3 linked regions of the Oreochromis niloticus genome follow. The protein of the gene in region 2 interacts with the protein of the main gene of each other region in a biochemical or structural test. Links are inferred from orthologs where the notes say so. Each region holds a gene or a part of one and is shown on either strand. Other genes may lie near its edges. The genes, in order: ctnna1, tjp2a and cgna.

Region 1 (7,139 bases), on a different chromosome or scaffold from region 2:
TGATTTCTGGCCAACACAAGATTTAAACTGGAATTTAGTTCTTCATGTGAGTACTACATAGTTTATAGTAGACTCCTCGGTAAGGATTTTTAAAAGCCAAGAATACCCCACACACTACCCAAAAATAAGTTCTGAACATTAAGAAACACAAGTAAAATAATACTGATTTGATGTTATGCAAACCTCTATAATATAACCACATCTTTGTATCCTTCTATAACAAAAACAAAGGACAAGAAACGGGAGGTAGCACAGAAAATACAACACTGAATATGGTGAGGTTGATTCTCAAGTTCAGATAACTGGGGAGTATCCTAACACTGCGCTAAGAGAACACAAAGGCTTCTCTGGAAAAGTGGTTACATTTGATCCCCACAGAAGGTAAGGCAATGACACCATCTAGCATGAAATGAATCTGAACCATGTGCATGCTTAAACTGAAAGTCTATTAATGGCCTCATTGAAAAACCCATTTCTAAACGAAATCTATCAGACTCAAACCACATTCTTATTTCAAGGATTTCTGCTGGAGCAGATGATGTATACATAGCTTATGGTTTATTTTTCATCCGTCCTTTCTTAAGAGGCACTCTGTACAAGCATGAAGCCACACTGCTGCAATACGTATTTTCAATATACCTTGCTTGCGGACATCTTCCACAGCAGCAGTCAGCTCATCCTTGAGGAACTGACTTTCCTTTGCAATCTTTTCGCCTTTCTCAAGGAAGTTCTCGGTAGCAGTCTCCACTGATGCAGCCAAAACATGGGCCTTCTTGGAGCGCCCCTTCCTCTTGTTAGATGGTCCTTTATTGCTGGTGTTTACCAAAGTGGTGACCTATGGCAGAGATTCATTAGGATATTATATACCTGCCTACAGTTAATAAATAGTGATAAGTCTAAAAAACAGACAACATATGACACTGCCAGGCAAAATACCACAGTATTAAAATGGTGAAATGCAAGAATGAACCACAGAAATAAATCATATTTTTTTACTTTGCTGTTTTGTGAAATAAGATGTGTAAGGTGCCTCCTTTTAATAATATTAATACTTGTTGTATTACCTGTGTGACCAGAGGCTCCAGCAGCCTTTCCACTGCCAGAGTACGGATCTCCAGGCTCTTCGGGTCCCATTTAAAGTTGATGTTTGGTGCGGTGTTGCTAGTCATGATGTCTAGTTTACTGTTTTTTGTTTGTTTTTTTAAAAAAAAGGTCAAAGAGAAAAAAATGAAACAAATGACAAATTAATTCTTCTGAAGCAGAAAATGTAGACTACAGAAAAAATGGACATCTCTGTCCTTTGATTAACTGAATATTTGCTTCCCTGAATGACTTTAAAGTTATAATTTTTCTTCATAAATCAAGATTTCTTTCAGATTATCAGACTAGTGTCTAGAACTCGGTGCATTAAAGAAATTATTAAAGTCCTTGTTAGAGCCGGCAGTGCTCCATTGCTTTCAGAATGAATGCCAACGGCAGAGCACAGCAACACAGTGGCCCAATTTCAATTTCTCTTTTCAGGCAGTGGCTGCGACCCCATTGATTAGCTATCAAACATGGAGGGGCAGGGATAATCAGGATGGCCCGAGGGCTGAGGGGCTTCAACTGAAAAGTTGGTCAGCTGTATTATGTGAGGAATTACAACACTAGCTATTAGCCTACATTACCAACAAAAATACAAAAATATTAAGAGAAGAACATGGTAACCATGGCTGTCTAATTTTATACTGAATCGTTATATATTAGGCGAGCCATTTTCAGTTCTCCTGTATTATTAACCACTTTTCTTCTTTCCGATATACACAGAGTTTCTACCCATGAGTTAACACGCAGTGAAACTGATAATGTTGGGCAGTGTATTGAAAAAGAAATTCTGTAAAGGTTGTTTGACGAAACGTCTGTTTGTCCACACAACATGACGCATTTCCACTGAAAGCAACGTGAAATGCTAGTCATGACACGAAGGGCCAGCGTGGGAGAAACTGCGTTCACCTCCTCTGCATGGGCGTGGTACATGTCGCAAAGTGATATCTACAAATCTCTGCAAATGAAATCGAAACAGTCTAGCAGGCTTGAGACCACTGATTGTTTATGTACGTGACTTGGGCAAAAATAATATTAATGGTTTAAAACTCTCAAACTAAGCCATATGTAGGTACTAATAAGTGTATATACTGTATCCAAACAGGAAAAATCCCGTAACAAAAAAGAAACATGTTAACACTTGCTGAGAAGCACTAGGGTGGGTCAAACACCTGGTGTGCTAACATTAGCTCAACTTCCACCTGTTGCTAAAACTACCTAAACAAACGTCGGTTTTACCCCGTCAAAAAGCGTCAAACGAGAATATACAAAGCAGAAAATACTCGTGTACACATTTAACACCCAATAACGGTACATCTAGGTCATTTTCGATACTTTATTAACCGCAGGCTACAGGTAACATTAAAACCAGCTTAGCTTAGCGTAATGCAGGTTACCTGCTGTAACACGGAGCTCTCCAAACACAGCGATGAGCTAAAGCTAATGCTAAGCGACAAACAACTGTTAGCCTGCTTTCTGCGGCAAACTTTACCGCCTCAACAGACGGTCCAAATAACTAGTCCACTCATTTTTTTTAAGTATTCACTGTACATAAAGTAAGAAAGACTCGTTATATACTCACCGACAACAGTCCGTTAGACAAAGTGAAGTTTAAAAGTTCAAAATGGAGGAATGGGAATTGCGGAATTCCTTGCGTCAAAAGTTTTCCTCCCGTTTCCTCGCCCCACGGACTTAGTTTAACTGCGCCGCTCACTCACGATAAACACCTAAGTTTTCCTCCCTCCGCCCGACGGCTATACAGAAAAGTATCACAAGCGCTCCAGCAAGTCAGCTGAAAAGTTTCGGTTAGGAGAATTTCGATGGAGTAACGTATTACCCAACAATAGATACGGTAAAAGGAGGAGGAGGGGGGCGCTGGGCGGTGACCAAGTTCCTGAACTTCCAGGCAGTGGAGAAGGGAGGCCACGGGCCACAGCAAGTCCGTAAAACCAGGAGGTGTTTTGGGCGTGGTGCTCGCTGTGTATGTCCATATATGGATTAATTACTGCTTCCATAAAGGCAGGAGTAGGGAAGCGCTATTTAAACTGTTGGGCTACAGAACAGGCTTCTGACCGAGGAAGGAAAATAAACTGAAAGTAGTCATTATGAAGGAATCTGATGTTCAAATATGACATTTGATTTGAGGGGATTTTCAGACGTGACATTTTATTGTAATAGTTTTTGTTTTGTTTTTTCTGCCAGAATTTCTTCGAGATGCAATCATAACGGCTAAACTAGAAAGCCAGGAAAAGATTTACTCTTCTTAAGTCTATCACAACAGAAAAAATAATCATTAAAAAAAAAAAAAACAGTGAAATTCTCCTTGAGCAAATCAGTTCATAATCTCGTATTATTGTTAACTCATGTATTGGACCTTTGTCTCCTGTCTTTACTTTCCTCTCTGCACTGCACCACTCAATGACAGCAATGAGCTGGTGTCGATAACAAACTCCAAGGTTTAAGGTTATTACCACAGGCAGTTGCTCTTTTGTCTGATGCTTATTTTCTTACTCTGTCTCTCTGTGTGCGTCGCTAGCAGAATGTAAAACAGAGCCTTTTCAAACTGAAACTATCTTTTTGTGAAGTATCACGGGCCGTGCAAAACTCATCAGAATTGTGCAAACTCTACTTTTTCCTTATTTACTGTATTTCTATTTATCTTAGCACATATTTCATTAAACATAAATATGCAGAACTAGAGGGGTGAATCAAAACTTTTGCACATCACAGTACCTTCTGCTAACTTGCTGATTATCTTCCTTTCAGCTCCTTTCATCTTTAATGTTAACTAAATTTTGAGCGGCTCGATTTGTTTTAAACTAAAATTATGTTTATCTTTTGTTTATGCTCATGGGTTTTACATGTTAGCAACTCTGTATAACAGAATCCCCTAGGGAAAGCCAGCTGATGTGGCATCAGGTGCACAGACACAATGGGCACGTTGAAGCGCCACTTACTCATTTATTATTAATAAATAAACATCATACGAAAACACTGCAGGCATTCTAGACAAGTAAATTAACCAGCATATCTAGAAATGCTTTGTGGATATGCAAACATGTATGAATTCAACTCTTACGAGGTCAAGAGCAAATATATCTCACGTATGTTGTGGACTGCACTTTTGTGGTTTGTTTCAGCAGTGACTGAGAACACTGAGACATTTGATAAACATATTCAAGTGCTGGGTATTTTGGTTCAGGCTTGATGAAGTGTGAAAGACATAAATAGATTATCTAAAGAGGCCAGGTGCCACCCCTCTAGCCTCACTTTTCTAATTCACACATACACGCGCACACGTATAGCAGTGGTAGCTTCAGTTCTTGGTTCTTGGTTGTATAGAACTAGCTGCAGAGCTGGCAATTAATAGTTTATTAATTAAGTTCAATCTGTATCCTTCTAATGTTATGTGTGTTTATGGCACAAGACACCTCTTAAAGAAATACAGTACTGTGAAAAAGTCTTGAGTTACCCCTCATTTTGTAACATTTTGCTTCCAAGGAGCCAGACTTTCTTGCAATATTGCAAAGTGTTTGTAAGTAAAAGTCCTCCAGGCTTTTCTTTTGCCATTGTTTGCTTTTTAGTCATTTTCAGTCCAGTCCTTGTACCTGACCACTTTCGGAGGAATGTGTTTTTGTGTTTGTTAAGCTACTTAACATGGACCTGTGAAAATCATGTGCTTGAGAAAGGGGGGAAAAATCCAGCAAAGACTTGACCTGAGCAGTACAACTGGCCTACTGTTCAGGAGAGCCACTAAAGGCAAACAGAGGAATAAAAAGACTGAAGTATGCCATATTAGATAAGAGCTGGACTAAAAAAATCTGTTATCTCTGTGCTGGTGTTGTTAATGTTGGTCAGCATTGCTACTGACCAGTCATATTTTTGTGATGTCATAGCTTTGGAATATTGAGAAAAAAGAAAACAAATTACTTTGTTTATATTAAACTCTTATGGAACAAATGGTAAGTGTTTAATTTTTTAAAATAATTTTATGCAATATAACAAACATATGATCAAGTTAGCGTTTCTTTTAGCCAAATTTAGGTTACTTGTGTTGGTTTGCTCCGACAGCGTGACTGGTCAGTTGCAATGTTGAGCCAACATTGTTATGATGATGTTGTACACACAAAACCAACACTGGGGTGTCTGTTCAGGCCTAAAAAGGAATCGCAGCAGGTCTTGTGGAGCGATTAATCCAAGTTTGACATTGTGGGTTTTAATTTTTATGAGAATGTATGGAGTAGCTCAGGAGAGAGGAAAAGCAGTGAGTGTCCACAGCCATGTGGAAAATACGGTGGAGGCTCTGTTGTGGTTTGGGGCTGAATTTAATCCAGTGGTGTTGGATAGCTTGTCTAAACTGACTTATGAATGCAGAAAAGTACCATGAGATTTTGATCCATCATGCAATACCAAGTGGAAAGCGTCTGATTGGCAACAGCTTCATATTCAAGCATAACAATGATCCCAAACACACTGCCACTGCAGTGAAAGCATAACTGAATAGAAAAGCACACAATGGAACACTATCAGTCGTTGACTGGCATCCACAGAGCCTGGACCTCAACATTATTGAAGCAGTGTGGGATAGTCATACCAAATACTGACCTTCAAAACTGTTAGAATCGCACAAACTATACGTGATTGCATGTTTCAATAGATCTGTATTGTCCAAGCAAAATATGAAGAACTGATGGGTGAGATAAGACTTTTCTACAGTGCTTCATGTCATGGTTCCAAAAAAAGAGGACAGTCATCAGTAATTCAAAGCAGTGGACACACAGAACATTACAATCAACAATGCTGTCTTGTCCTGCAGCCAAGCACAACTAACACACTTCTATTTGTTGGCTTGAGTAGGTGTTAATTAAGAAGCTCCACCAGTGCAGCATGAATTACAGTCTTGGAGAGAATGAGCTTACAAATGTACTTATCAAGCTCTTAATGAAGGCCTCGGAATATAATTATCTTTCAGAAAGACACTCCTTAATGTTTTTTTTGTGTGTGTGTGTGTAATAATAATTTGTGAAGTAATTGTTTTTGCCATAGAGTTTTGACCATGCTATAACTTAAGGAGTCATGGATTAAATTTCCATATTAAATTCTTTGGGAGGGAAATACAGCAGTGAACTATCTTGTGTGCATTATTAATTTCAGTGTAGAGCAGAGAAAACTGGCATGTACATAGTGTAACAGAGATCTGTTTATCCAATTAATACTCCATAGAGAAGACGGTTTAGATGTGGTGTAATTGTGTTCTTGAATGATGAATGTTTGTCTAAGTAACAGCTTGCTGGGAGGACAAGTTTGGGTGTCCTTGAACTTCATCTTTTTGTACCTGTTGGGCCCGACAAATGATAAGAGCGCAGCATGCTATAAATAATTCCTTCTCATTATGTGGAAGTGCACATGTTTGTCACATACTGAATGTATAATTGAGTGCATGCAAATCTTCAGCGTGTGGCACTAGAAGAAAATGTGGCAATATTATTTTGCGCTATGTCAGGTGAACATTACAAAAATCAAAATCCAAACTGGTATTTATGCTATCTTTCCTCTTAGCTATCATTGATTCTATAGATTAGCTCTACATTTCTATTCAGGGGACACAGCATCTTATTGAATCACAGTCCTTGGCACTGCTCCACGCCGATAAAAGAAATGCTCATGGTGACTACTAAATGTAAGCATCTTTCACAATTGTGTTATTATCTATTGTTTTTTTCAGTCATGGATGCAACTGTATGTTATAGCTTCCTGTCAAAGTAGTTACTCATGCTTTGACGGTGACTGAACTGGAAGCTGCCTCGCTGCTGGAGGAATTTTGTTCCCTGACATAAGGAAGACAGCGACTTTCAGTCTGCCTACGATCACCTGACTCATCCTGACAGCTGTCCATGGAGCTGCATGATGTCATCTGCAGGCTTTCCCCTTCCTAAGTAAGACCCTGTACCTTGATTAGAAATGAGTGTGTGGTGATGCATGGCATCAGAGAGAAGTCAGCCGACTAGTGACGCTAATGATAATCAGTCATTCATCGAGACAGTCCTGCAAAGCGG
Region 2 (7,189 bases):
TGTTTCTCTGCCCCTTGTCACTTCCCCACATGCTCGAGTAGTGCTGGGGTGCTGCATTACTAAGGCCCGGGCCATTATGCAATGTCCGTATGCAATGCATGTGAGCGCCAGATGGAGGGACACATGCCACTCACAAATCTGGGATGAGAGTGTGCAGACAGAAAGGGAAAGGGGGAGAAAAAAAAAATCAGTGTGCACATCCCCTCCACAGGTATAATCTGGATCAGCTGCAAGCATGTAGTGACATGGAGGGGTGAATTAAAGAGTCAAAAAAGCAACACGAGATGGAAAGAAGACACTTTTCAGTTTATCTGTAAAAAGCTGGGTCTCCCTGCTAGAAGTGTTTCCGTTCATGAGGACCATGATCCAAGAAACTCAATGACACTGTTGACCCCCCATGCAGATTACTTAAACTCTTTTGGGGATGTACCAGTTGTGAAATTCCATTAATCCAAGTCTTTCAGGTTTTTAGCCTGAACAACAGACATGTTGAAATGTGCGTAAGCACAGTACTGTAAACCACACATCTACAGATATTACACAGAATACCACCCAAAGTAAGGTTTATGCCACAGCTGTCCTAAATTAACAGTATTGGTAATTACCAAAAATATTTTTTATGTTTCTGTAATGGTTAATCCACCGATAAGTGCACACTCTCTCTTGAAACTATATTTTTAACAGAAAAATACAAATATTGTTGTAATTTGCACATTTTCAGATTTACCGTTTTACAAAAAAAAGCTGAAAAATAATAAAACACAGGATCGTTTTTTGATTAAGATACCAAATTACAGTTATTTACTTGCAATCCTGAACAAGTAATTTTAGTGGCTGAATTTTATACTTGATTAATTCCTGACTTTTCAGAGAAGTCCAGTGTACTGTCTTAAATTTGGGCATAAAAATGCAAATTTAGTTTGTTATTTACCTGATAAATAATAATAATATATTTCTAGTTTTAAACAGGTTTCTAACAGATTAAAAAAAACCAAAAAAACATCTGTGTTTTCTTGCTGCCAAAAATTGCACAAACACACATATCAGGAAGTATTTGTACAGGTAAACACCACCACATGGAAAATTTGTATTCACTCTCATTTAATGGCTACTTCCTTTTAGATACTGAATTGTAAACAAAATAAAAGAACTATGTCTGAAAACATTACACAATATAAGACCCACAAACACGTAAATGCAAAGATTTCGAGATGATAAAAGTGCAACTCTGCCATTTGTTTTAAGGGTGCACATGCTGTATAGCTATATTTACACACGGTGCAATTTTAATGTTTTTTACTTTTTTAATGTTTTAAAAAAAAATTTTTTCACTATTCCCGATCTTTATGTTTTATTCTGAAAGATATTTATCCAAAGAGCTTAAACTGTTAGTTTAAGCCAGGGGTGGGCAACTCCAGGCCTCGAGTGCCGGTCTCCTGCAGGTTTTAGATATCACCCTGGGTCAACACACCTGAATCAAATGATTAGTTCATTATCAGGCCTCTGGAGAACTGAAGACATGTTGAGGTCATTTAACAATTTGAATCAGCTGTGTTGGATCAAGGACACATCTAAAACCTGCAGGACACCAGCACTCGAGGCTGGAGTTCGACACCTGGTTTAAGCTAAGAAGCAGCCTCCAGAACTACAAAATGAAACCAATGTGGAAGTGCCAAAAACAGCTGTTTTTCTAGAATAGTTTTTCTATGAATAGCTAGCACTTTCATACCAGCTGTGTGGTGATTATTATTAATATCATTATTATTTTAGTTTTAAAGTATATGGTGTGGCTCCTGTGATTTACAGGTGTCCCAAACAGGCTGTTTTAGCCAAGAGATGCATTATAAGCCTCAGCACTGGTGGTACATTTTGGAGGATTTCTGAAGGAATTACCACAAAAAAATCATGGCTTACTATAACTTATAACAAATTAAGTCCTATGGAGTAGCATGTGTACATCTCCGTGTTTTACTTGCACAGTTTATAGAGACGGGCTGCTAACCAAGCTAGTGCTCCAAACTCATCCAAATGTGGTCATTGCTGGTTCCTCATGGCAGTGGCTAAAAACAGTAACACTGCAAACTTCTATATCCTAGTCTAATGGCACTGGGTGATGCGACTCTGGCTGTATCCATCTTTTATCTACAGTCTATGATTCACCCCCATGTTTAAAATAGTTTATAGCTTCCACCCTTCAGTCTTTGAACCTCAACAGTGATCAGAAATGCATGTCAGTAAATAAAAACTTATCCGAGAGGTTTCTTTCTCTTGCTTTTTTGTTATAAGCACGTCATTTGTGATTATGCTGGTTTATATCTATGCAATGAAATGATATTTTTGAATGTTTGTAAATTGCTAAGATATAAACTAGTAATAATAATAATAATAATAAAAATGATAAAACACGAGGAAACACTCACAGTGTGAGCTCCTGTTCAATTTCACTTCATTCAAGTTTATTTATATTGCGCCAAATCACTACAACAGTTGCCTAAAGGCGCTTGAGGTGTGCCTCTAGTGCGCTGAAACTAGTAGTAAGCGCATGAATACACACGCAGAGGAGACAGCTACACGCAGGCCCGAATACAGTGTAGGTCATACCTGACGTTTTGACAACAAGAAACTCTCAAATAAATTAAAATATGACACGCTGCTGCCTTCAAGCACCAAGATAAAAAATGTTATCTGTTGCTTAAGCCGTCAGGGCAACACCTTCAATTTACAGAGGCACCATTAAAGATGTGGTAAAATGGCAGTGCGCGCCACAAACACGGCGAAAGCAAATCGATACTCACTGCGGACAATGCCGGGCCTACTTACCAGGTGAAACTTCGTGTGTCCTGTCTTTATGTGACCGCAGGCAGCAGAGTAATCCCAAAAGCTGAACTGGACAAAGGAAGGGTGAAGAAGGAGAGGATTTTGACGGAACAAAGTTTTGGCGAGCCTCGAAAAATCCTTCTTCCTGGTTCTCTCAGGTATGTGGGCGTAGCTTAGAAACGGCAGGTGTGCTGTGTGCAGCTCCACTGCAGTTTCACTCATGACCTTTTAGGGCGGTGCCATTCTTCTGAGTCACTCTTCCTGTGTCATATAAAGGGACTTTAATACCGAAACTCCATACTCACCAGCTACTTTATCAGGCACTTTGTTGCTACTACTGGGCTGGACCTAGTAATAGCAAGAGTCCAGCGTGGCTTTAATTCTTTATGGCATATATTCCACAAGTTGCTGGAAACATTCCTCAGAGATTCTGGTCTATTTTGACATGATAACATCACAAAGTTGCTGCACATTTGGTTGCACATCCGTGATGCAAATCTCCCCTTCCACCACATCCTAAAGGTGCTCTATTACAACAAGATCTGGTGACAGTAGAAGCCAGTTGAGTACAGGGAACTCACAGACACCAGCGGTTCAACAAAACAGTTTGAGATGATTTGACCTTTGTGAAATGACGTGTTATCCTGCTGCTAGCCATCAGGGGGTGTGATCATAAAGGGATCAGCAAAAATAATCGTGTAGGTGATGTGATGTTAATACGATGTTCATTTGGTACTAAGGGGTCCAAAGTATGTCAAGAAAATATCCCCCACATCATTACACCGCCAGCATCCTGAACCCCTGGTACAAGGTGGGATGAATCCATGGTTTCATGTTGTTCACACCAAATTCTTAGCCTACCCTTTTAAGTGTCGCAGCAGAAATCGAGCCAAAAACGTTTCCAGTTTTCTGTTGTACAATTTCAGTGAGCCTGTGCAAACGGTAGCTTCAGTCCCCTGTTCTTAGCTGACATCAACAGTGAGGTTTTGCCCAGAGAGCTGCTGCTCATTGTCTCTTTTTTGGACCATTCTCAGTAAGCCCTAGAGATGGTTGTGTGGGGAAAATCCCAGCAGATCAGCAGTTCCTAAAATACTCAGACCAGCCCATCTGGCACCAAGAACCATGCCACGTTCAAAGCCATTTAAAATGTCATTTTTCCTCTTTCTGATGCTCAGAGATAACTTTAGTAAACACAAAATATGCAGTTATGTGAATCTAATCTTGCACTCAGATGTTTGTCTCGTTTTAATTCTCAGTGCTAAATCTGCACTGCAGAAAACATATGGACAACTTTGCTCAGAGCTGATAAGTAGAGCTTCAAGGGCAGCTGCTCAGATTGACTGTGGAGTTCTTTTGAGTGAATCTCTTTTTTCATTTATGTCTATTAAGGCCTGGAGCAAGATTCCTAAAAGCTTGAAAACATGTATAGATTTCCATAGTTTCATATTTTCTCTTATGATGTAATCAATAAATAAATGAAATTAAAAATAATTATACTAATAAATAAGGCTTGTCAATGTTAATCAAATGTCACTTTTCTTTCTTTTACCCTGTATCATCCTGATCATCCTGAGTTCATGTATTGACAGCAGGGGTGTAGCCACATAGGGAGGATGGGGTGGCACTGGCTCCCTGTGAAATGTGATTGGCCTCCCTGGTATCCACCCAGTAGTCCCATAGTGCCACTCGTTTTACATACATTACACCATGAAAGCATGTGTAACACCAGTGGTGGAAAGTAGGAAGGTAGATAAAAAAAACTAAAAGAAGAAAACATGGAGCCATTTTCTTCCACTTATCTGAAATAAGGTCACGGAGGCAGCAGCCGAAGCAGGGAAGCCCATACCGCCCTCTCGCCACCTCCTCCAGCTTATCCAGGGAAGTATTTTGGCATTTCCAGGCCAACCGATGGATGTAATCTCTCCAGCACATCCACGGTTTACCCCGGGTCCTCCTCCCAGTTGGACATACCCGCCCGGGACACCTTACCCAGTCGGTGACAGCCTTAGCTGGCTCCTTGTGTGGAAGAGCGGCGGCTCTACTCTGCGCTCCTCCTGAATGACTGAACTACTCACCCTATCTCTAAGAGAGGGCCCTTAGCCCTTTTTGTCTTATCAAATACTAATCGCTTTATTGTCGGTCCGTCCTGTGTCACCCTACTTAAAAAAAAAGGAAAAGCCCCCATTTGATTGTCTGGTTATGGAATGAGGGTGAGTACATGCAGGGGTGTTGTACCGAGGGAAAGCGACTAACTGAGACCACAAACATGGGAAGGGGGCTGTTACAAGCTTGGAATGAGTCTGTTTTTGTTTGCATTTTTTAAAATTTCTAATAAGTTGGATTGTTATAATGAATGGTTTATAATGGTTTAGCACGCTAATTTGTTTAATCTAGCTGGCCGCTAATAAGCAGCGCATCAGTGTGTCTGTGTGGGACAATGGCAGGTGATAGTGTTACATTTTTGTATCTATTTTAAAAATAAGAGTAACTGAGCGTGTTACAGGACTAATATATCACATTTCCTGCTCTTTCGCTAAGTAAATATAATAAGGATAAAAGGAAGCATAAGTTTGTTCTTGTGGCCAAATGTGAAAGTCTTATTCTCCTATATTCTTTTATTTCACTGTTATTTCAGCTGCTGTTCTGTCTGGTAACAGGTTTTGACTTTCAGTAGGGATGCATCCCTTTTTTGAGCCATATCTGGCAATTTGTAATCAATTATGACACATATACTGTGCTACTTGACACCATATTGAAACACAGTATGTATTCATTTTTGCTTCATTTTCTTTGTGGTAGTTTCTATCATAGGCACCAAAATCTGCAAAGCTTGTAACTTTTTGGTAATTTCTCCTGGTGAATATGATCAACCTTATCCTTCTGACTATAATAAAATGCATTCCCTTCATATGCATTGAGTAAAAGGCAAATTTTAGAAATGTGTCTTGTAGGGACAGTCAAAATTTCTCATGTCTCGGACTGTCTGTATAGGGGTGGATTGGTTGGTGTTTCGATCCCAGTCTGCTCCAGTCTGCATGCCAAATATCCTTATAGGCAAGATACTAACCCCATGTTAGCATACGTGTGAATGTTAGATAGAAAGCAGTTAGAAACAGCGTAGAAAACAGTGCTTGTGTGAATGTGTGTAAATGGGTACTCAGAGTAGAAAAGTGCTATATGAGAACCAGTCCATGTAACACACAGAGGGAAATGTTAGGAGAAGGAGTGAAAGAAAACTGGGGGAAGTAAGAGGTTATGAATGGTTTCTCTGTCAGCAGCTGTTAAAGACAGTGAGACAGTACTATATCTGTCACATTTCCCTAGTACAGTTTAACATACTCAAATGCCTATACCTTAATTTGTTTACGCTTTATTAGACCCAGAAGCCAGCGCATTTAAGTCTGGTCAAACAGCATTTTAAAACACCACAATGACACTTGTCATTCATTCAATAAGGTGCTGGAAGCATTCCTGAGAGATTTTCGTCCATATTGACATGATAGCATGACTCGTCATGTTCAAGAAACCAGCTAAGGGATGGATTTGACATTCAACTGCTGCTCACTGGGTATTTTCTCTTTTTCTGATAACTCTCTATAAGCCCCAGAGATGGTTGTGGTGGGAAATCCCAGTAGATCCGCATTTTCTGAAATACTCAGACGAGCCTGCCTGGCATTAACTAACATGTGATGTTTAAAGTAACATGAATCTCTTCCCCATTCTGATGCTCACATTGAACTTTAGCACGTCATCTTGATTATGTCTACATGCCTAAAATCATGTGTTAGCCAGCAGCCAAACACACATATGTCTGTGTACATTTGTCACATTTTAAATGAGGTTTCATATTTGGTGATCAAACACTAAAGAATGTAACTCAAGGATCACTTTTCCACCATATCTTTCACCGTCTTCCTCTGAGTATGTAGCCACAGTGAGCACTGATGTAAAATCTGTTAGTGATTCAGGCTGTTGCTGCCACCTGTACACACTCCTATTGTTACTACTCGAGCGGTGAATGTGTGGTGATATAAAACTGGTGTGACCGGTTTAACCTGCTCTGTTAGGACCCTCTGCCCTGAATAGAGTCTCTTTGTAAACAGAAAAACAATGAACAAGCTGTTGACAATCAGCAGTCAGACATTGTCAAAAGACTGAAACTTGACTCAGTGAAGAGGGGAAATAACCTCACCAGTAAGCAACACATAGAAATACGGGTTAATCAACAGAAGCCATGGATACTGCCCTCTATTTTATATTAAAGCAACATAATTTTGAAGCAAAAAACGAACACACATATCAAAGTAAAGATATTGAAATAATTTATTTCCCTGATACAAGTTTAAAGTATTGCTATGGTACAATTATAGGC
Region 3 (7,346 bases), on a different chromosome or scaffold from region 2:
GAGAATATCTGTTTATTTGTCACAGAGGAGGAAGGCACTTCCAGCTCCGACAGCGGGACGTGGTTGGAGGAGAACTCATCCCATTGTCCAGCTGATGTGGGGCGGAAAATGAGGGCAGCAATTCTGGAATGCTTTAACTACCCCTGCTGCTCCTGCCCCTTTCTCTTCTGTCACACTGTCCATCTGATTATAAGAAGTCATTTTCAATGCTTAAATTTTGCTTTTAGGCTTCACTCCAAAGTGTTTTTTCCTCCACAGCACTCTAAATAAACATGCTTTCTACACTGAGAGTAGGATGGCAAACAAGCTCTCCTTTGATCTTAAACTCGTGAGTGAAACTAACATGTCACACCTAAGGTGATTGTTTCAGGTCTGTAAAACCCATGAATTTGTTTTTTTTAAATACAGAAAGCAATCCATTAGCCAATAAGCGACTAAACAGTGTTCACTCTAGAGACCCAGAATCATAACTATGAGTACTGCAACTTTAATAACAGACCAGCTTTGCTTGCACAGCTATATCTGGAGCTTTTGTAATTTCATGAGAGTCGTGCTACCCTGCAGTTATGCTGACGAGCCTGTGCCTGTGGCCTCAAACTCAATTCTCAAAAAGTAAATTGAATTGAAGCTGCTTTCGTTTTAAGACCTAAGGTGGAAAGGAAAAGGAAAAAAGAATGAGGACATCAGAATGGGTGAGGAGAAAAATGAAACAACGGCAACGTGTGGAATCACATGCCTCTGCTGACTCAGTCCACATGGCTAATGTGATCGCATCATCTCTAGACTGGCCCAAAAATGACACCGCTGGAGATGGCAGACAAGGGTAATGGCAACATGTGCCAAAAACATATCCTTAGGGTATAAAAACAACCCTTCATGCCAAAACGTAAGCACTACAAGTACGTAAGCATGTGCTATGTTTTTAAGTAAAGCCAGTCTTCTCTCGTTCTCAAACTATACGAGAACAGCTTTGCATGAGTCACAGTTCAAAACAAACCTTGTTTATCCTATACTGGTCTTTGGTTTGACTCCTCAATTAATTAACACCTGAAACAATTCATTGAGCTCCTCTCCCTTTAAACTTTCTTTTTACTGGCTACCAAAAGCAAACAGAAGGTTTGAACAGCAAGTGGGCGGAGCTTCTGTCCTCATAAAGCCACAAAACCGGACTTGGCAGAAACGGTTTTTCTAATTACACATCTTAATCAGAAAAATAATAATGTGCTTTACTGCTTTTGTAAAAAATAAAAATAAAATAAAAAAATAAAGCAATAATTAAGATTTTTGCATCCAAAACATAATTTTGATTAAAGAACTTTTAAAGAACAGAAACATAAAAATGATTTTGGTTACCGATACTGTTAATTTAGGGCAGATGTGCCATAAAACCTACAATGCGCGGGGGTCTAATAAATTTGGTAAGCACTGTATAAACGTCTTAAGAATGAAAATGTAAACGCCTGTGTGCTGAATGAGCTTGAAAGCGATGGAAAACAGCCAGACACTAAACCAAGGAAGCCTCAAAACACCACATCTGAAAATATTTGCCCTTAAAAAAACCCCAACAAAACAAATAAATCAAAATGTTATCAACTCATAGCTAGTTGGACTATTTGAGAGCTAGTTTACAGCATGCTATAAAGCTGGCATATGGATGCTGTAAAAAACATTTAATCCTCCTTTTCTTCCAAGTGAATCATAAAGTTTTACAGGACTGTCCTGCAAATCACAAATGTCATCATGTAAGCAACAGAGATACAAGTGCTGTACTCTCTCTTCTGCTTTTAAAGGAGAGTCAGGTACTCAGTCCTCAGAGTATACTCCCTCTCCATTACATTCTTGACATAACACCAAGCCCTCATCCTCTTTCACCCTCAAACAAACACCCATTTATTCCTCTTCTCAGTGCAAAGGAGTTCATTGGCATAACAATGTACAAAAAAAATGACACAAAAGTAGGAGCACATAAATACACCCCTCCCTTTTCCAAATTCCTGACACTGGTCTCTCTGTCCTTTACACATACAGGGGCTGAAAGTGTGTCAGTGTGGGAGACTCACTTTATGGCGTTTTATCTGCACACTTGAGTGTATCAGCTGCTTGTACGTGTAACACGGCACAGGTCTTTTATCTGTTAGTCCAATGTGAGGCATTCCCACCGCATTACGAGTTCTGAAACTGTACCCGAAGCTTTGCAGGCTCAATGCTATAATTAGTGAAATTCACGACCCAATCCATGAGCCTTTCCCCACCTCAAAACTATAATCTGCTGTTCCTTCTTGCCCGTGTCATCAGTTTCACATGAGCTGTGAAGAGAACAAAAGCAGGTGTACTTTGAAATGCATGTTTATCCATTGTTTACCCGGGTTCAATCCTTTAATGGTTTCCCTACAGTTGCATTCATCCTTTTGAGCTATGTGCTAAAAACGTTTCTCCTGTACCGTTGTTCCAATGACAGATCTCCTGGTCGCACAGGTGTACACAGGTGTGCACAGAAACGGAAACACCTGGCTCATTTCTAAACAACTTTGTGGTTTTAAAAGTTAAACCTCTGACAATAAGCCTACCTTCGCTATACTTACATTTGTCTTAAAGAGACGTATTATTCTGTTTTATTTGTCATTTACTTCCCTTCACTTAACGGGCAAATCCAAAAGTTATCTTGGAGTAACGTTAGCTGGTAGCGCTGTTTCTCTCGAACCATCGTTAGCTGCTCAGCTACACTGGCTCACAGTGACACTACCAAATAAACTATTACATAACTGCCATAAATCAAAAATAAGTGCCGCTGGGCAGCACCAGAAACCCACAAAGCGTCAAAGTAACTGTCCGAGGAGCGGCGCCTGTCTGGTTTAGTTGTCTGGCTATGAGAGGTCCCAAACCCAGCGTGAACTTACCTCTTTTTTTCTGAACTTATTCTTCTGCTCCTCTCGTATCCTCTCGCCTGCTGTATGCCGATAATAATTCAGATATATTGACTGACATCCATTAAAGCCCACACGGAAACGTGAACAGAAAAACCTAACTCCTACGGAAATTATCACAGCAATAAGTTCATTATGCTGCTGCTGGGAATGCAACCTGTTACCTTTTTGTCAGGGATGTAAACGTTCCGCCCAGCCCCGCCAAGTACGGCGCTGTGATTGGGCCGTTTCGCTGGCTTGGGCGGGGCTATTGATACTGTCTAGGTTTGTAATTGGTGAAACCTCCATGCCACTCATTCCTTGTTTCTGGACCATTTTTTCACCTTTTTTTTGCTGAAAATGGAACTTGTATTTTTTTTTTTTCCAAATAATGACCCGCGTAACCTAGATAAACAAAACTTTTCAAGGACTACTGATAGACGCAGGTGCCTCACAACGTTTATTTCTCCTGTTAACCAGTAGATGGCGCAGCCGTACACCGGCTGGTTCTCTGGGCTGTAGCACTTTGCTATCATAGCAACAAGATTGTAGATGGCATCGGTTGGTGTCTTCCAACCAAAATTGTGATTTCTTTTCCCTTCCCACTGTCACCAAGTGCTTGCTCATAAGGGGTCATGTGATTCTTGGGATTTTTCTTACTAATATTGTTGAGTCTTTATGTAAATATAAATCACCTTCAGTTGATTATTGTTGAGAATACAACAAAATTAAATTGAAAATTGAGAGCTTGAAAAGAAGGCAACGAGACTTCTTTAGATTTATGAGCATGTTTTGCCTCTCATCGAAAGGGCAGAACTGAAGAAGTCTCGTGCACAAGAGGGGAAACATCTTCATGAACCCACTGAAGTCCAGTCTACTGGATAACTGAGAACCTACAGACATATTTAAACTTCACTTTTCCAATTTAAGCACAATTTTTGACATTGTAATAGCTTACCCGTGTAAGATTTAAGAAATCCTGGGAACATCCCTGAGTGTAAAAAAAAAACCCATATAAATAAATATAACTTTTTTGTCCTTTGTTATCTTTTGCTGTTGCAATGTTATGTGTGTAGAGCTGAGCTGAACACAGTTATTAAACTTATTGTGTGTTGAAGAATAAAAAGAAAAGTTTTAGAGTTTGGGTTCTGGAAATAAAAAGTTTTCATGAGATTTACAATCTTCCTTGTTGAGTAAAACTGCCACTCCGCCCCGTGCGCGCAGCTCCTCCCCAGAAACCAGCGACATCCCCCAGTCTGCTCACTCCAACTTTCCTCTCCTTTCACTCCTCTCATCACTTCGCCTGGTCGACAGACTGGACGCACTATCTCACGCTCCGGGAATGGGATCTTTACTGGGTTCAAAGAAAAACTTCCAATTCTTTCGAGTTTATGCTCTGCAAAAGTTACTTTTCAAACTGCAGGGATAGTTGTTACTGCAGGTGCAGGGTGACAGCAACACAGAGCAGCTGGCTAATGATCTCCAAGACGCACCAGAAGTTGTGAGAGAGTCTCAGGAGCTAGGAATCAGCATAGAATCATAAAGTGGGATCTGCTTAAAGTGATTAGTCAGATATCCTTGCATACCAAAGTTACTTCAGTCGAAGTGTGAACAAAGTGAGTGTGCGTAAAGTTGGAGCTGTTGAGGAAGGCTAAAAGTAACTTTTAGGGGGAGGCTAATGCAAGGAGGTGGGAAAAAATCCAGTAACTTTTAGTAACTTTTAAAATCAGTAAGAAGTGTCATCAACTTAACAACCATGGCAAAATGGTTCAGAGATTTCCCCATCAACCTGAAGAACGGAAATGAAAGAGTGCGCTCAGCCTCCGAATCTGGTCCACAAACTCGACCCAAACCTTCATTTTCACGAGACAGTTTGAAAGGAAATCAGCGCAGAGATGGGGGAGTGGGGGGTTTGTTGGCAGGGAGAAATAGGAAGAATTCGGCTACAGAACTGGGTCGTAACAATGCTGGTTCTGGTGGAACAGTCTGGGACAGTCTCACGGCTGGAAAAGGTCGCAAGAACACCAAGAGCGACACCGCGTCATCGGATGAGAACCGCCAGGTCAGGACCTCTAGTGTGGCTCAAGCGTACATCAGCAGGATGATCAAAGTGGACAAACAAGAAAAGACCCCCAAACTCAATGGGATATGTGAACAGAAGCTACCCGAGAACGAGAAAGGACGATCTGACATTAAAACAACGGTGAGTAACTTATAGAAATTATATAACATGCCCATATAACATGTCTTCATATTTCAGCAGCTATTTATTTATGAATTAGTTCATTAAAACATCATTATAGTACAGGGCTTAAGGTCAGTGCTTTCCTTTGTGTTTTCCCTCCATGTCTCAGATCATAACCCTGTATTCAGTTTCCATCGTTCTCAAAAGAATACAATACAGTTTCACTTCATTGTTTCAGATCACACAGGCAAACACAATGCGCTGACCTCTTTGCACAAGTATTTCCGCTTGTCCCTCCATTACTTGTCACTCAGTCATGGACACCACACACATACACACACGCACAGACACACACACACACATGCACACTGCTTGTTGTCTCTGTGACTTTTGAATAGGTAGCAGGCCGGCATTGTGCTTTTCCCTTTTCAACAGCTGATTATCCTGGAGGACTATGCAGATCCTTTTGATGCGGAGAAAACAAAGGAGCAGAGAGAAGCTGAGAGAGCAGGAGTGAATGATGGGTACATGGAGCCTTATGACGCCCAGGTCATCATCACAGGTGAGGTCAGGGTCACATGATCTCGTATCTCAGCAGCCAAAGTTTTATTATGAAGGTGCTTCTTGGCTTTCCGGAGTTTTGGACTGTTTTCTCAGCAGCTGAGCAAATGTGAACGACATATTTTTGTGAATATAGCAGAAGAATTCAGTCGTGAACTTGGTCCTACAGCACATCTTTAAACAGAATGGCAGAATCGCTTATAGAAACACAACAATAACACTAGCAACATCCTTCCTACATCTTCACCTTGTATTTTTTTCTTTAAGTTGACTATCTTTTATTTTTCTGAGAACTTAATTCCAATTTTTTAACCTTTTGCTTCACTTTGTATATCGTGCTTGATAAGCCAAGTGTATTGTGAGCTCGTAAAGGAACACTAATTATACATCTTATTTAAGTTTATCAGCACTTAGACTGCATCACATTCTTGTTAACTTATCATTTTAAAGGGACTGAGAGCCAAGCTAGATCCTCAGTCTCTCTACTGACTTCCCTCCCCGCTGGCGGTGGCTATAGTAACAGTGTTGTGCAGGGACAATGGGTGCAGCTTCCTCTTCCAGCTTCCTGTCTCCTGCCTCTGTTTCCTTTGCCCCATTCTCTCGATAGGACATTGGCCCTAATGCCCTCCTGCCTCCCCTTCCACACATACACAAACACACAGAGACAGACACCAGATACTTTATGGTCCCCTGCATGTGACAAGAATCGAAAGCCCCCCTCTCACCCCTCCCTAAAAACCTACAGGTTTCCCCCCGGTCTCACCCAATCACTTCCCAACAGTCAGGAAGCGGTCCGGTTAGTGAGCCAATCAACGGCTGTGTTGACCTTTTCTTCCTGTAAATCCATTGTTTGGTCACACAATAGTGTAGACACACAGGCTACCTGCCGGGCACCAAATGAAAAAACAAAAAGGAACATAACAATTAAAATTCCCCGAAAATGTTAAAAAAAGACAATATTCAAACAATACTTGATTTATTTAAAAGAAACGAGCAAATGAAGGACAGAACAGTGGAGTCTATATATGTAATCAGCACAATGTTGCTTTACAGACTGTGTGGTGTAAACTCCTAATTTGTGCACTTGAGTGAAAGCTTGTAATAAACTAAGGATGTTTCTAAACGTCAGTTTTATTCTGTATTTTGTCCAAAATATCTGATTTGGACTATAGTGGTTATGTTTGAAATGGCACGTAAATTATTTCAGTAAAAGTACATTTTTAATTTTTTTCTACTGTAATTTAGTTGTTTTTCTGAACACATATTGTAAGGGAAATGTGCTTTAAACACTAAGGTGGGGGTGTAATATTGAAGGGAAGGCCAATTATGTGCCTTTAGCTGTTCAAGTCTTATATACAGTTAGCTAATCACATATCCATTCTGCTGTAGAGGTTCGTAGACGGGGCTCCAAAGACCTCTTGAAAGTATGTGTCCTGTTGGATCGAGGCCAAAGCGAGGGGAAGGCAGAAGAGGTAATGCCTGCACCCCCAAACATCTATGACATACCCTACGAAGGAGGACTGGAAGGCGACAGTGAGGGCGTGTGGATCCCTGTCACACGACCGGAGTCTGATGTCCGTCCAGCTGGAGAGTACGAACTGCCGTGGGAGTGGAGAAAGGAGGACATTGTTAGAGCTCTGTCAGGTAGAGAAAAGGAGGGAGGGATCATGGGAAGGGTGGGGGTTTAGGGTTTAGGG

Evidence for each region.
Region 1: the proteins of tjp2a (region 2) and ctnna1 form a complex in vitro, tested with the Homo sapiens proteins (2 studies listed by BioGRID and IntAct, with this or other methods). The link is inferred for Oreochromis niloticus from reciprocal best matches to the Homo sapiens genes TJP2 and CTNNA1.
Region 3: the proteins of tjp2a (region 2) and cgna form a complex in vitro, tested with the Homo sapiens proteins (2 studies listed by BioGRID and IntAct, with this or other methods). The link is inferred for Oreochromis niloticus from reciprocal best matches to the Homo sapiens genes TJP2 and CGN.

What each region holds. Positions count from the first base shown.
Region 1 is NC_031966.2:29,112,158-29,119,296, reverse strand, and holds the start of ctnna1 (catenin alpha-1), read right to left. Parts: upstream 3,023-7,139; 5' UTR 2,666-3,022; intron 1,183-2,665; 5' UTR 1,170-1,182; coding exon 1,065-1,169; intron 836-1,064; coding exon 640-835; intron 1-639. UniProt on the Homo sapiens protein: Associates with the cytoplasmic domain of a variety of cadherins. The association of catenins to cadherins produces a complex which is linked to the actin filament network, and which seems to be of primary importance for cadherins cell-adhesion properties.
Region 2 is NC_031972.2:31,498,338-31,505,526, forward strand, and holds the start of tjp2a (tight junction protein ZO-2a), read right to left. Parts: upstream 3,046-7,189; 5' UTR 3,040-3,045; coding exon 2,821-3,039; intron 1-2,820. UniProt on the Homo sapiens protein: Plays a role in tight junctions and adherens junctions. Acts as a positive regulator of RANKL-induced osteoclast differentiation, potentially via mediating downstream transcriptional activity.
Region 3 is NC_031976.2:20,779,568-20,786,913, forward strand, and holds the start of cgna (cingulin), read right to left. Parts: upstream 3,112-7,346; 5' UTR 2,898-3,111; intron 1-2,897. Other genes in the region: she (SH2 domain-containing adapter protein E), read left to right, coding at 4,660-5,106, 5,524-5,650, 7,039-7,293. UniProt on the Homo sapiens protein: Probably plays a role in the formation and regulation of the tight junction (TJ) paracellular permeability barrier.